3 linked regions of the Sus scrofa genome follow. The protein of the gene in region 1 interacts with the protein of each later gene in a biochemical or structural test. Links are inferred from orthologs where the notes say so. Each region holds a gene or a part of one and is shown in the gene's direction. Other genes may lie near its edges.

Region 1 (5,314 bases):
AGAGCCCAGATCAATCGATACCCAGTGTCTCTCTCCAGGACAGCATACCTCCACGCCGCTGCCATGGATAAAAGGCGACACTGTCACAGTTGGGAGGCAGGAAGTACCATCTTCATTCATTCTCTCTTGCCAGGATAAGACATTTGTACCAGACATCCATTCCTATATGCAAGAGGCTTGGCATTGTTAGCTGATTGGCTTTGATGGGTGAAGAAAGGAAAATAATTTGCTGTGCTTATTTTGCCAAAGAATGAATGCTTTGATTTTAGATTAGGAATGAGACAAAATAAAGGTAGTGTGAGAACATATTTGTACTTGTGGCAGTACTCACGTGTCATGTTTCTATGATCACAACAATCCAGTATCCCTATATGTTTGTTCTTGAGTTCTATTAGGTAAGCTACCCTGCTATTTGTAAATTTTTCTTGGTGCTTTATTTGTCAAAGACTCTTAGAGATAAAAATAAACACATGCCACTTGTTTGCTCTTTGTGCCTTTCTCCTGGGGGCTGTTCATGCTTGTGAATAAAAAAAAATGTGTATATAGTGCGTGTGCGAGTCTGTGTTTGTGTATAAATAACTCGAGAAGGTGCAGCTATCTAGATTGGCTGCTAGGTGGCCGTGGACCCACTTACCCTGGTTTGGGGGCTTGGGGCCTTAAGGTAGCCCTGTAGCCTCCCACGGTAGCGTGGCGGGCAGCCCCTAACCCAGTGCCCAGACTGTTAGTAGAGGAAAAACATTGACTTAACCACTTGAAAGCCCTTGGTATATACCCCACTAATCCCTCTGCCGGGCCACTGAGAGCTATGTCTGGCTTTGGTCATGGATGGTGTCACCGAAGTGTATTCTCTGCGTGGACACCTAGGAAGCAACTTGAAAGTAAACACACGCTTGGGGCTTCCCTCGCTGATGAATGTGCAGCAGCGTCGCCTCCGTTCGGAGGGCAGCGCTGAGGTCTCTTTGCTTCGGTCAGCATCTGCCAAGCGCTGGTGTGTACACACACAGGGGCTGCTGTGTGTACACACACACAAGGGCTTGTGTGTACACACACACACACACACACACACACACACACACACGGGAGCGCGCGCGCGGTTAGGGCCGAAGTGATTACTGGCGCTTGTTTTCTTGGCGCCCACCCCCGTCCCCTAGCAGCCACCCATCCGGCCGCGTGCGGTTCCCCCGGCGGCCCTGGCCGCTCGCCGGGCCCTCCGAAGGCCCGAAGAGGCCCCGCGCACACCCACCGCGCCGCGGCCGCGCGGGAGGCCTGCGCCGCCCGCGCCACCCACCGGCTGGGCCCAGCGGGCAGGCTGAGCGAGCGGGCGGGCGGGGGCTGTCCCGGGCTCGCCCTCCCCGGCCGCGGCCCTGCGCGCCATGTGTCCCCGCGGGGCGCGCCGCTCCAGAGCCGGCCGCGGCTCCTTTAACCCAGGGAAGGGGAGCGGGGCGGAGGGGGCGGAGGGGGCGGTGGGGCGGCTCCGAGGAGGGCTCTTTCTTTCTTCTTTTTTTGAATGAACAGTGTGACGTACATACAGGAAACCAGTCGGTTAGAGGAGAATGAAGTAAGAGGCCAGCCCCCCCGGCCCCGCGCCCGCCCCCTTCCTCCCTGCGCTGGCCCCCGCCCGCCGGGCTCCCGCCCGCCAAGCTCGGTTTCCCCGCCGAGCCGCCGCCGCTGCCGCCGCCGCCGCCGCCGCCGCCGCTGCCAGCGAAGGTGCCGGGAGCCGAGCCCTCCCCGCCGGCGCGGCCGTCATCGCCCTGAGCGGGAGCGCGGGGGAGGCGGGCGCAGCCAGCTCTGCCGCGCAGGAGCAGGAGGAGGAGAAAGGGTGCGCAGCCCGGAGGCGGGGTGCGCCGGTGGGGTGCAGCGGAAGAGGGGGTCCAGGGGGGAGAACTTCGTAGCAGTCATCCTTTTTAGGAAAAGAGGGAAAAAATAAAACCCTCCCCCACCACCTCCTTCTCCCCACCCCTCGCCGCACCACACACAGCGCGGGCTTCTCGCGCTCGGCACCGGCGGGCCGGGTGCGTCCAGCCTTCATTTATCAAGCAGCTTTTCGGAAAATGCATTTGCCGTTCGGAGTTTAATCAGAAGAGGATTCCTGTCCCCGTCCCCGGCTCGTCCACCGGCCCCCGGTCCCTGTCTCTCTCCCGTGGAGGCGTGAAGCGGCCCCGCGGATAGAAATCCATGTCCGTGCCCGCGCGTGTGTGTGCGTGTGTAAATTGCCGAGAGGGGAAAAATCACAGGACTTCTGCAAATCCCGGACTGAAAATTGTAATTCATCTGCCGCCGCCGCTGCCTTTCTTTTCTCGTGCTCTTGAGATCTCTGGTTGGGATTCCTACGGATTGACATTTCTGTAAAGGAGAAGTCTGGGAATCAAACTGGAAATTCTCCTAATTTTTACACCTCCTCCCCCAGCTCCTGATTCATTTGGAAGTTTCAAAGCAGCTATAACTGGAGAGTTCTGAAGATTGATGGAATCTTTGCCTTATGCATTTGTTTTGTTTTCACAAAAAGGAAACTTGACAGAGGATCATGCTGTCCTTAAAAAATACAAGTAAGTTCTTTGCACAGAAAATTGGCTTAATGTAACTTTCAATGGAAACATTTGAGATTTTAACTTTTAAGTGCATTCGAGTAAGTTTAATTTCCAGGCAGTTTAATACATTCTTTTCAGCTGTGTAACTTGTAGTGTGTTAAGCCCTGCTTTCACCCAGTGTATAAAGGGAAATGCACCTGATTTTGACTGATTAGTTTTTTTAACCTTTCAGCATCACGGGGGAAGTAGACTGATATTAACAATAATTAATAATGTGCCTCATGAACTAAAGATCCGAAAGGAATTTAAATAAAAATTTCCTGCATCTCATGCCAAGAGGGAAACACCAGAATCAAGTGTTCCGCGTGACTGAAGACACCCCCTCAACCAAGAATGCAAAGCACATCCAATAAAATAGCTGGATTATAACTATTCTCTCTTTCGGGGCCGTGGGGTGGGAAGCGGGGGCGAGAGGTGCTGTTGGTACCCGGCTGCTTTTCCTCTGGGAAAGGATGGCGCACGCTGGGAGAACAGGGTATGATAACCGGGAAATAGTGATGAAGTACATCCACTATAAGCTGTCGCAGAGGGGCTACGAGTGGGATGCCGGAGACGCGGGCGCCGCGTCCCCGGGGGCCGCTCCCGCACCGGGCATCTTCTCCTCCCAGCCCGGGCGAACCCCCGCTCCCGCCAGGACCTCGCCGCCGCCGACCCCGACCGCCCCCGCCGCCACCGCCGCCGCCGCCGCCGCCGCGGGGCCTGTACTCAGCCCGGTGCCACCTGTGGTCCACCTGACCCTGCGCCAGGCCGGCGATGACTTCTCTCGTCGCTACCGCCGCGACTTTGCCGAGATGTCCAGCCAGCTGCACCTGACTCCCTTCACCGCGAGGGGACGCTTTGCCACGGTGGTGGAGGAGCTCTTCAGGGATGGGGTGAACTGGGGGAGGATTGTGGCCTTCTTTGAGTTCGGTGGGGTCATGTGTGTGGAGAGCGTCAACCGGGAGATGTCGCCCCTGGTGGACAACATCGCCCTGTGGATGACTGAGTACCTGAACCGGCACCTGCACACCTGGATCCAGGATAACGGAGGCTGGGTAGGTGCATGTGTGGTTGAATGTGAGTCTGGGCTGCGCGTTAAGGGTCTGAGATGCAGTGGTTGGAGTGTGGGTGGGCTGCTCGACCAAGGGCGGGCGGATGAGCCAGTGCTATAAAATCAGGTTTGTGGCTTCCCTCCCCATTTCCCCTGTTCAGAGCTCTCTCCCTGCCAACCGTACTGTGATCATTCCTTCCCGCCAAAACTGTTTGCCTTGCTTGCCAACCGTTGAGTTTCAAAGATCCAGGCTTTGCTATTCAGTAGGCTCTTGGGATAATGGTATCCCTTCAGTGTTTTTCAAACTGGGAGTCCAAGGATCCCCAGCATTACTGTACCTGGCCTGAGTAGCTCCTTGAAATCAGAGACAGGGCCAACTCATAAACTGACCTCAGGCTGGGCCCTGGGAATCTGCATCAGAAATAAGCCCCTCTGGGGGTTTCTTCTTTGTACTAAGATGTGAGAACCACCCAATTAGAAGAACAGACTCCCCCAGAAGACCAAGGTCATGCCTTCTCCTCACTTGGTAACATCTACCCAAAGAGGAAAACCAATGGAGCCTATTTCCCTGAAAATCTTGGATGTTTGTGAAAAGGTAAATTGTAAGTTGACTTTCCAAAAGTCCGGCCATTCCAAGCTGCAATGTGAGCCACATTCCCAGTGGGCATGACCCATTGTCTTGAAGAACACTCATCTATGGGTGTTTATTTCATCAGTGGCAGAATTTGCATTCGCTGCACGCTTTGTGTTCTATTTCTATAACTTGTGTATGATTTTGAGGTTTACTGGAATTTTACTGTCTTACTTTTCACCAACTAGAATTCACATCATTTTGGGTCTTCTCTGCTGGATAAACGTGAATCTACAGTATCTATATAAAGCATAGAAGAATTGATTCTTAGCTATGGATTCCTGTGCTCTGACTTTAGTTGAAGTGATTAATGCCTGTATCTTTGAAGAACATGTGTGAGCATATTTTTTTTTTTCTGGTATTGTGCTAGGTAGAGCCTTCATTATGTCACCATAAATTTCTTTTTGGGTGTATGATTCTTTGGGGGTGGGGTACAGGTCCTAAGACTGAAGAAGTGTAATTGAAGTCTATACTTTATATATCTAAAATTATTAATTTATGAAAAACCAAGAAAAGGAATAATTTTTGTCTGAAGTTTTTGCAGACTTTTTGTTTTAATCTAAACAATTGTCTTTGAAAAAGGATGCAGTTCAGTGAGAATTGCATCCTTTATTAGGAGGATTATAGGGAGAATTACTAATGCTATTATTTTATGGAAACTAACAGGAGCAAAAAGCCTAGCAGTTACTATAAGTGGATTGGATTTCAAGATGCACATTACATATTTTACTACAGTTTACAAAGTGTGCTAATATTAAGGGGCCAAAAAGAGAAAAGGCCAAGAAAAGTAGATGACTGACATGAACATCTGATCCTACTTGACCAAAGTTGACAAAATATTGATGCCACTGTTCAGTGTTTAAAAGTAAACATCCCCATTTCATCTCTAAAATTTAAATGCTTTTTGTGAGTTGTTTGTTTTTTGAGATCCCATACTACCAGATCTTTAGTAATTCTGGAAGAATGCAGTAAACGGTGAAAAGAATATTTTTGTAAAATGTTTGGTTAAGTAGGTGGTTTTATTTTTAACCACCATAACCAAAGAGGTAGGGACTTCCAGACGCC
Region 2 (5,126 bases), about 2.8 Mb from region 1:
CACAACTTGCCTAAAATTCGTATCTAGTATGGGTCACGTGGCCAACAACCTCTTATAATGATAATGTTAGAGGTCAAGATTGACACACCCTTTGTAGTAAACATGATGTAATGTGTTTTTCTTTTGTTGAATGTCTATACTGCATCTCAGGGTGCAGGAGTTGATGAGAAGTTTACTAATTTATCTAATCAGGGATCCAACGGTGTCAGTCAAAAAGAGCCTTGAGAATTTTGGGGGGCTACCAGGTTCAAGATAAGCTGCATCTCTCTTGGGCTTCCTGTGACATGTGGTGGTTAACTCCTGAATTTTGTGTATTCTTATCCCTGGGTGTTCATCACACTCAAAACCAAATTGTTTAAATTCAAGAGTAGTTTTGTTCCATGCTTATAGCATTGTCTACATTTCTGCAGGACCAAGCCACAAATAAAAACCTGCAGGTTTGTGTTGATTGAGTGACTTAAGGTAAACAAACAAGTTCAAATGCCTACTGGGGCCAGATCAAGTAAATGAGAAAAACAAACAGCAGGGAGCGTGGCCAACCTGAGTGACCCCGCCCAATGTCTCTCTACGGGGAATGGCAGCCTCCAGCCCGCTCTGCTCTTTAGGAAAACGGATCCTGCGTTGTCAGGAACTAATGATTTCCTAAAGGAAGCCAGAAATCTGGACTTTTAATGTAATCTCTCCATTTTTAAATGTTGGAAAACCAATTCGAATTTTCACAAGACATCTGGTAGACCAATACGGAGAACCAAACCAAGCACTTCTAGAAAGTCATGGAGCTCTAAGCAACCAATTTACAGCCTCTGCATTATTCAGGGCAGATAATAAAAGAACACTCTTTTTCTAAAACACTGATTCCTGGTAAGGCGGCAGTGGGTAAGAGGGCTTGCTCGGTATGGGCCTGCCAGGGTTCAGATTCTGCCACTGATCTCTGCCTGTGTGAGCTGAGGCAACTCGATCTCTGCAAATTTCAGCTTTTGAACCACACGATCTAAAGTGGCCACACGATGCTAAGAATGCCAGCTTGGTAGGGTAGTTCTGAGGACAGAATAGGAAATGCCTGCGGAATCCCTTAGCATGAAGGGGTCCTCAATACCTATGACCATTCCAAATGACTCCTCCTTTTTACAAAAACAAAAGTATTCAAGTGCCAGCCAAACATCGTGCAAATAACTTCCTATTCCCAGATTCCTCATTCTTTCCTCCACCAAAGCATTGAAAGTTTTCTACACGATGACCTACTCTTTTTTTGTGTTACTAAACATCTACAATGGTCAGGAGACCCATGGGGAATAAACGCTCTACTTTTTCAACCCAGCCGTGAATTAGTTAGCCCCCTCCCTCATTCACATTCCCTCCCCCTCCCAAATCTAAAGTGTTTGCTCGCGTGCTCCGAGTTTTCAATTTGCAACAATTTCCCAATAGTTTCAGTTTCAATCTGGTACTTTTCTCACTTGGCTTCTGGTACCATCTCTATGGTTATTAAAGTTTTCTTCATTTCACGTCCCAGAAACTTCCTAAGTTCTCGGAGTTTGAAAACTGTCCTCTTCTAAACTCTTTTCGGGGTTTGTTTACAGACGTCGCTAATTGCCCATTTCTGATAAGGACGAAGCTCCAGGATTCCCCATCCCCAACCTTCTGCTAGGAGAACCTTTCTCCGCTCGCGACTCCTACACCCCGACAAGTCTGCAGCTGACTCGTTTGTCAAGGAAGTAATTTCCAGGCTGGGCCTTGCCTCTCCCGCCAAGCTCCCGGCGCCCCCCGCCGCGGATCGGCGCCGCCGCAGGTCGCCAGCGGGTCCCGGCGGGTCGCGCTGCACCGCGCGCTGCGCTGGGCCAGTTACTCGCTCCCCCCGCCCCTTTGCGCGCTGGTCCGAGGGGGCGGGGACAGGGGCGGGCCCGGCGTCAAGTTTCTCTACGTCACTGGGAAGTCCCCATTAGGTCGGAGCGCGGGCAGCGGCGGGAGCGCCAACCTCAGAGGCTTTTGGGCGTTCAGGGTGTTGCTTTTCTAGCTCTCTCCCGCTTGCTCGCTTCTGCCCGACCGCCCCGCGCGCAGCCTGCTACCTGCAGAGCCAAGGTGCTCGGGTCCGGGGACTGAGTTCTCGGAGTTTTGCGGCAAAGTTCCGGCTGCTGTTTGCGGAGATGCCTGGAAGGAGGTCTCGTAGGAACACTCAGACGAACCCTACGCGGGTGGCCCTCCCGCCAGGTAGAGAGCAGCTGGGGCCCGCGGAGATCCTGACCCGGGGCGGAGGCTGGGGTCGAGGTCTCGGTCCGGGCGGAGTCACCCCATGTGCGCCGGGCCTCAAGGTCAGGCCGGCGCTGTGCCCTTGCACATGTTTTAGGGGCGCCGGCAGGAAGTTCTTTAGGGGTTTAACCGCGGACCGTGGATATGACCAGGGAGGGAGTCCGGCTTAGGGTTGGGATGCAGCAGCATTTCAGAGGATGCTGAGATCAGCTTTCCCATCCCCACTTGTTCTGCCCCTGGGCCATGGGAAGAAAAAGAGCAAGTACGGGCGCCAGCCACGCGGAGAAAGTCATTGCCATGGCGGGTGGGGCCGAGAGAGGCTCCAGGAGCTTCCTGGCCTCCCAGCGTTTTCTGAGGGAGGCCCTCTCCCTCCCGTATTCTGGATCTTTTGAGCCTTACCCCCCTACCCCAGGCAGTAATAATGCTTGATACTATCACAGGCCTTCCACAAAAAACTGACGGAGGGGTTGGAGGTCCCACAAGGACTGGTGAAATCAGGATAATAGAAAGTTTTTCTTCTTTGTTAGAAGTGTAACATTTTAACAATCGATATTAGCTGCAGAAATGGGGTAGGAGAACAGGAGTTGGTCCGCAATGTTTTTCAATCCACCCGTTCCTCTGCCCTTCCCCATCCGTGTACCTCATCAAATAATTTAAGGTCGGTTTCCTTATAAATCTTATCAAATGGAGCAGCCATCTGCTCCTAAGGAGCAGTTGCAAAGAAGGCAAATAAGTCTCTGAGCTGGAAATCTGTGTGGGTCATACTGCTGTTACATCAGATGGTAATAGGCCGTTTTATACTTAGTTTAACTTTTTAGAGCCCATGGACCGCTCAAAGGAAGTGGTGCATTGCCCGTGTGGTCATGGCAAAGCTGGCACCAGGCTGCTCTCTTGACTCTTGCTTGGGAGGGAAGAAACTTTGCCCGTCTTTTGTGCTGGCCCAGAAATCTGGCCATGTTTCAAAAAATTTCCCATCATCTTCAAGAGCCGACTTACTCCCTATTAATAAGAGACAGCAGAAAGGTCCCTCTTAAACTTGGTTAGACAGTAATACAGTAAAAACAACAAAAAAACAAACAAAACCAAAATTAAGGTATAAGTGACATGTAACATTGTATTAGTTTTAGATGTACACCATGATTTGATATATGTGTGTACTATGACATGATTACCACAGTAAGTTTAGTTAACATCGATCACCACACAGTTACATTTTTTATTAATACATTTATAGATGTAACAAAAAATTAATACATTTATAGATGTAAAAAACAAAAAGGAAAGAACTAGGTGCTATTATCTGCCCTTTTTAATGAAAGGGATAGTTTTTCCTCTTACAATTCAGGGCTTCCAAAATTGTATGCTAAGTGATAATTTGTTTCTGTTTTTGTTTTTTAGGATAGCATGTTAATATATTCCACTCACTGAAAAAAACATGTCTTTGTAGATACTTCTCCAAATGCTTGACGCCGTAGCCTATAAAGAAAGATAGCTTACAAGAGATTTATTAGGTCTCAGAGATTATATAAAGTTTTTTTTTTTAGGAATTATGAAAATTTAACTCAGCTCTTAGGAAAAGATAAATTGGTTGAAATGTAGGTTTAAAAATCCACTTTAATATATATTTACAGTTTTTGTTTATCTGAGCCTAAATAGGCTATCTGCAGGGTCTGCTTATAAAATAAATCAGATTTTAACTTACAGTCATAATTTTTAGTGTTTATAATCATGATGTTGAATTGAACCAAAAAGAAGCGGAATTGTTCTTGGAAATATCCAAGAAAATTGAAATTATGACCAGTATAGATTTGGTGTTAATTCCATCTACTTAAAAAGTTCACTTGGAAATTAGATTATAAAGATTCCCCCCCATACAATATCTTAAAAAGTAGTAAGTATATGAATTAAATATTACTTATTTTGTGCTTCACTTATCTCCATAAAGGCAATGGATTGGTACAGTTTGGGGAGACTTTGGCTTAGACTCATGTGTAAACTTATAATTATTTTAGAAAATGTGGACTTCATTTTGGAATAAGATTTTATGAATCCTTCAAGAGAAAATTTCATGAGGCTAAGAATACATTTAGATTTGCCTAGTATGAGGGCATAATTTGAGCTATGAATTATTGGTTGCCATTTACAAAATAAATTATACTCAAAAACAACATAGAAGAATTTAGAATTTGACTTGTCTCTAACCAATTTTAAATGAGAAAGAAAAGGATGACATCAGTTGGGTTGGCAAAGGCTTGCTGTTTGTGGTGTGTGACATAAATGTCTATATTTGAAAGTAAGATAACATTTGCCTCATCCAGGATTGCAAAATAAATGTCTTTATTCTTTAACTTTTGGTTGTTTATGAATCACCGTGTATTGGTGTATGTCACGTGTGTGTGTTTGAGAGGGGCAGCAAGTAGCCTTTCTCACATTTTAGAAAACAAGTGTGCTTAAAAGGTAAACGCTGGGATAAACACTCAACTTGTCTCTGGGATGAACGTTTTAACTCTTGCTGGTTGCCGTTTGCAATGTTGTCAGGATAACTTTGATGTTTTCTTTTTCAGATCCTGAAGTCGAGTGTGCCATTCAGTTCAGAAGGATTGGAGACAAACTGAACTTCCGGCAGAAACTTCTGAATCTGATAGCCAAACTCTTCCGCCTAGGAACCTGACTTCAGAAGCTTGTGAATGAGGAGACTCCTTTAAAATGGAAGATTCCCCAGTAGGTGCAGATTTCATCAGTTAGAGGAGAGAATGCCTTGTAATGGAGAAGAATGTGAAGGAGCTCTCACTTGCTTTTGGATGCCCTAGGAATCGAAGACGGATGGGTCAAAAATGAGTTTCTGCTGAAGGTTTTCCAGAAGTCGATGTTTCGGATGCAAG
Region 3 (5,232 bases), on another chromosome or scaffold:
AAGTACATGTAAAGTGTACACCTGTGACACCTGTCAGTCATTGCTGTCATAATTGTTGTTTTTATTACTTTGTATTTAGTTTAGTTGTTTAGGTATTATTGTTGTTATTTATAGTTCCTCCTGCCCCATAACAGAAGTGGGACTGGATGGGTAAGTGACTCCAATGTGCAGATAAAAACACTGAGGTTCAGAGATGAACAAGGAATAGTCCAAGTCCCTCAGACATAGGACTAGCCCAAGGTTTATTTGATGTTCCTTCCCAGGCAATTTCTCACATAATTCCACTGTCCTATCACCTCTTCTGGCCGGCCAGCATTCCTCCCTCCCTCCCTTCCTTCCAAAATGATTTCCCTGAATACCTTGCCCCCCCACCTTTTGTATCAGGCACTATATAGGCCTCGGTGCTAAGACACTGAGAAACAGCATACCCTTCCCTGATTTTGAAGATCTTCCAATCTATTGGGAGAGGCAAAGGTAAATCAACTGATGGTACAGACACAAGTAAATTAGCTATGAAGTGGGGGTTCACTGTACCAAGGATGCAGCCAATCAGGACACCTGGCTTTGCTTTGGGGTGGTCAGGGAGGGCTTCCTGTAGGAGAGGACTTCACAGCTCCTATCTGAAAAGTTACCTCCAAAAGCCAGTTACATCCTCCACTGTTAGCTACCTCCAAAAGCCAGAGTCTCACTCATTTACTAATTAATTAATTCAATTATTCATTCATCTCTTGAACTCCTTTAGGCCCTATTGGAGGTATTGGGGACAAAACAAGCAAAATTCTTCCCAGGATGTGGAGTTCCTGTCATGGCTCAGTGGTTAACAAACCCAACTAGGATCCATGAGGTTGCAGGTTCCATTCCTGGCCTTGCTCAGTGGGTTAAGGATCCAGTGTTACCATAACTTGTGCTGTAGGTCACAGATGCAGCTCAGATCTGGTGTTGCTGTGCCTGTGGCATAGGCTGGTGGCTACAGCTCCATTTCGACCCCTATCCTGGGAACCTCCATATGCCCTGGGTGCGGCCCTAAAAAGACAAAAAAAAAAATTTTTTTCCCAGGATGGAGCAGAGTTGGGGAAAGCAAAAGTATGAACATGATCTGGAAGAGGGTACTGCTGGGACTAAAACAAAGTAGAATGATGGAGGAATAAGTGTCCCCCACTTCAAAACAAGAGCCATAAAAACCCTTCTAGGGAGTTCCCGTCGTGGCGCAGTGGTTAACGAATCCGACTAGGAACCATGAGGTTGCAGGTTCGGTCCCTGCCCTTGCTCAGTGGGTTAACGATCCGGCGTTGCCATGAGCTGTGGTGTAGGTTGGAGACGCGGCTCGGATCCCGTGTTGCTGTGGCTCTGGCGTAGGCTGGTGGCTACAGCTCCGATTCAACCCCTAGCCTGGGAACCTCCATATGCCGCGGGAGCGGCCCAAGAAATAGCAACAACCACAACAACAACAACAAAAGACAAAAAAAAAACAACAAAAAAAAACCCTTCTAATTGATGCTGCCACCTCTTCTGGGGCCATGGGCACCTTATCACACTCTAGCAGAGGGTGCCAGGAGGATGGACTACTCCCAGTGGCCCTACTCTCTCTCAACAACTCACCTAGCCATTACTGAGTTCCTCCTGTATTCATTAGGCTACCTTCTCGGAATTAGAGGGACTACACAGCGGGGCGGAGATTTGTGTGTGTGCCCTTCTGCACGTCGTTTGCCCTCTGGGCCTCAGGTCTACATTTGCAACTAGGGGTTTAGGGTGGGTCAGCAGTCCGAGTTGCCCTGACAATCGAGCCTGTGCTCTTTAAGGAAATACCATTTAGTGCTGTCCTCCAGTGGATGTTTATCCCCATTTTGCAGATGAGCAGAATGAAGCTCAAACAGGAGTTGTGAGTCTGACCAGGCTGTGCGGCGCTGACCTGCAAACAGTCACAGATCTACAGCTCCCTGCCCCCGCCCGGGGGTGGTGCTGTGGCCTCTACCCCTTTAAGAACGCCCCACGGATACAAGCAGGAAGGGGGCGGTGCCTACGCCCGAGACGGACGTGCGTGCAGACCAATGGACGCTGAAGTCACGGTGGCGGCGGCCAATGGGCGCGGTGAGGGAGGGGCTGGGCGCCAGAGCCTGGTTCCCGAGGCGCGGCGGCCGCGGCTGGGGGCGGGGAGGGGGGCGCAGGACCCCAGGCGGGGGTCCCGGAGCCGGAGGCACGTGTCCCAGGGCGCCGGCGGGGCCGCGGCGGCCGGGAGCGCTGCCCGGGCTTGGGCTGGTCCGGGGGCCGGCGCGGCTGGGGCTGCAGCCGATAGGCTGGGTGAAGGGCCGCGGGGGAGGCGAGCCGGGGGGCCCCGCGGGGTCGGAGTGCCGGAGGGGGCGCGGCCGGGCGGGGGCTGCTGGGGGTGGGGGCCATGGAGGGCCATGGGCAGCGGGTGGGGGCGCTGCTGGTGAAGACGTGCAGAGTCGGGGGTGCCCGAGGGGTGCGGGGGGGTCTGGAGCCCCAGACGTGGCGTCAAACATGCGTGGGGCGTTGGGGACTTGGCTGGGAGGTTGACGGAGGGCCAGGCCGGAGCAGGGGGCGGCTGGAGAGCGTAGGGTGTTATGGGATAGGGATGGGGGCGTCTGGGGACATTAGGGTTTTCAGGGGAGAGAGAACGGCTGTGGGGGGAGCTGGCCCGGGCTGGGGGCGATGGTTGGGGTGGGGGGAGGGCTACTTACGCGGGCGCAGGGGATTGTGGGGTGTGAGGGCTGGGAGGGTCTCAGAAAATGAGACCCTATCCCAGAAGGAACAGGCAGGTGAGCGTTAGGAAGGAGATGCAGTGGGTTAGAATGATGGTTCTGCCACCTCTCAAGCTTGGGGCCTGGGGGTGGGGGCCAGTTCTTGATGGTCCAAGGAAAAAGCCTTGGGGGTCTCAAGCACTCCTGTGAAGGAGGCTACTTTGAGAGGGTGGTAAGAAGGCCTGACGAGTGGAGAAAGCCCTGCTAGGGAATGGTTTGGGTGGTTTGGGTCAAGGTCTCTGGTGTCGGGGTTGGCAGGGTATTAGGTTCAGTGTATGGAAGGAAAGACTGGCCTTTCTGGGTGGCTTTCTTGAGGAGAAGGGACAACTGAGGGTGGGGAGCCCTGGTAAAGATTCAGTTATTTTTCCCTTGGGCTCTAAAAATAGCCTCTTCAAGATCTCAGGGGTTGTCCCTCTGAAAAAGAGCCCCAGTACCTGCTCTGAGCATTTCATTAGATAAAGCCCCAGGTTCAAATCCAGCCCCTTGTGTTTGGCTTGTGTTTTGACCTTGGACCAATAGCTTTGGCTTTCTGGGCCTCAATTTCCTTTTCTGCTGAGGGAGGTGGGGGTGGGGGTGATGGGATATTCCCTACTTCCCAAGGTGTTGATAAAGATTAAGTAATAATTGTTTCTAATAATAGCTAACACTGTTTGAGCCTGATGCCCAGGGCTTGATGAGTGGGTTGTTAAGTCCTTTGGACAAACCAGGGTTGTTACTGTACCCACTGTATAGAGGAGGAAACCGAGGCCTGGAGTCCCTGAGTCACACAGAGCAAGTGATTGGCAGTGTGGGGAGTGGATGCAGAGGAGAAGTTGAAGGCTTGGTGGTATTTTTACCTGCATCCATTTTCCCTACCAGGGCCAATTCCCGTCCCCCCAGCAGCATGGCGTCCTGTGCTGAGCCCTCTGCTGCAGGCCCTGAACCCACTGCCCCGCCACCTACTGGAGCCCCACCACTTGAGGACTTCGAAGTGTTGGATGGGGTGGAAGACGCAGAGGGCGAGGAGGAGGAGGAGGAGGAGGAGGAGGACCTGAGTGAGCTGCCGCCACTTGAGGATGTGGGGCAGCCCCCAGTGGAGGAGGCCGAACAGCCCGGGGCCCTGGCCCGAGAGTTCCTGGCCGCCATGGAGCCTGAGCCTGAGCCCGCCCCAGCCCCAGACGAGTGGCTGGACATCCTGGGTAAGGAGCCGGGGTGGCTCGGGTTGGACCACGGGGCCCAGACAGCTCAGGTGCGGGAGTGACCTTGGCCTGGGCTTTCTACCCTGAGCCTCATTTCCCTATCTCTGTTTTGAGGTAGGTTGGAAGTAAAACGTGTAACCACCGTGATCATCAGCCACAGGTAGTTGCTTGAGACACTTCATGGCTCAGAGAGGCTGAATCACCTGTACAGGGCCACACAGCCAGCTCAGCAGGCTCTGACAGCTTTCAACCCCCGCTCCTTTTCTTGTCATTTGTCTGACAAGTACCTGTCCCTAGAAAAATGTTCTGAGGTCAGATAGACCTGTGGAACATCTCATTTTATTCATCACTCTGTCAGGTTCAAAGTATTCATTAGTGTTATTAGTGTGCTCATTGTTTAGAACAGTCCTGCAAGAAAGAAACCAGGAGAACCCACACATGTGCTCCTGTCCCCTATAACCCTTCCAGCACCTCTAGAAAATAAACATAATGCTACTAGTTCTGATATCTAATATACTGAATAATGCTAATGTCCAGACAAATAACAGTGAAACATCCTTCCTGCTACCTTTAATATTAACAATACAGTAGTATCAAATAATGCTGACAGGAGTTCCCGTCATGGCGCAGTGGTTAACAAATCCGACTAGGAACCATGAGGTTGCGGGTTCGATCCCTGGCCGTGCTCTGTGGGTTAAGGATCGGGCGTTGCTGTGAGCTGTGGTGTAGGTCGCAGAGGTGGCTCGGATCCCGCATTGCTGTGGCTGTGGTGTAGGCTGGTGGCTACAGCTCCGATTAGACCCTTAGCCTGGGAACCTCCATATGCCGTGGAAGCGGCCCAAGAAATGGCAAAAAGACCAAGAAAAATTAAAAAAAAAAAAAAAAATAACGCTGACACTAATGAAACAGAATTGGTACTGATTTCGCTTCCACCACAGGTATAACCTTTACTACTCCTAAAGATAACAGCGGGTAGTATTTACTGAGCCCTGGTTTTGGGCCTGTGCTTCGTCTTATTTTATTGTCATAACAACCCCATGATGTAATTCCTAACGTATCCCCATTTTATAAATAGGGAAACTGAGGGTCAGTGAGGTGAAGGCACTTACTTGCCCAAGGTCGTGCAGCCTCCTTGGCTGCATTAAAGTTTGGAAAGTTCTTCTGTGCTAATACTAAGATCTGCACTGCACCCTGTGTGAGCATGAGGCTGGCTCCGTTTGTTTTTATTCAAGCCAGCTACTTTCTGAGGTCAGAATTCAGGCTTCTAGACAAAGAAACTGAGCCTTGGAGAGGGG

What was found.
Region 2: the proteins of BCL2 (region 1) and PMAIP1 interact in a biophysical measurement, tested with the Homo sapiens proteins (2 studies listed by BioGRID and IntAct, with this or other methods). The link is inferred for Sus scrofa from reciprocal best matches to the Homo sapiens genes BCL2 and PMAIP1.
Region 3: the proteins of BCL2 (region 1) and FKBP8 form a complex in vitro, tested with the Homo sapiens proteins (4 studies listed by BioGRID, with this or other methods). The link is inferred for Sus scrofa from reciprocal best matches to the Homo sapiens genes BCL2 and FKBP8.

The regions. Positions count from the first base shown.
Region 1 is NC_010443.5:158,335,705-158,341,018, forward strand, and holds the start of BCL2 (apoptosis regulator Bcl-2), read left to right. Parts: upstream 1-1,698; 5' UTR 1,699-3,040; coding exon 3,041-3,622; exon of another isoform or gene 3,623-5,314. UniProt on the Homo sapiens protein: Suppresses apoptosis in a variety of cell systems including factor-dependent lymphohematopoietic and neural cells. Regulates cell death by controlling the mitochondrial membrane permeability. Appears to function in a feedback loop system with caspases.
Region 2 is NC_010443.5:161,184,977-161,190,102, reverse strand, and holds the start of PMAIP1 (phorbol-12-myristate-13-acetate-induced protein 1), read left to right. Parts: upstream 1-1,964; 5' UTR 1,965-2,141; coding exon 2,142-2,205; intron 2,206-4,808; coding exon 4,809-4,915; 3' UTR 4,916-5,126. UniProt on the Homo sapiens protein: Promotes activation of caspases and apoptosis. Promotes mitochondrial membrane changes and efflux of apoptogenic proteins from the mitochondria. Contributes to p53/TP53-dependent apoptosis after radiation exposure. Promotes proteasomal degradation of MCL1.
Region 3 is NC_010444.4:59,254,472-59,259,703, forward strand, and holds the start of FKBP8 (peptidyl-prolyl cis-trans isomerase FKBP8), read left to right. Parts: upstream 1-2,074; 5' UTR 2,075-2,194; intron 2,195-2,482; exon of another isoform or gene 2,483-2,572; intron 2,573-3,617; 5' UTR 3,618-3,642; coding exon 3,643-3,937; intron 3,938-5,232. UniProt on the Homo sapiens protein: Constitutively inactive PPiase, which becomes active when bound to calmodulin and calcium. Seems to act as a chaperone for BCL2, targets it to the mitochondria and modulates its phosphorylation state.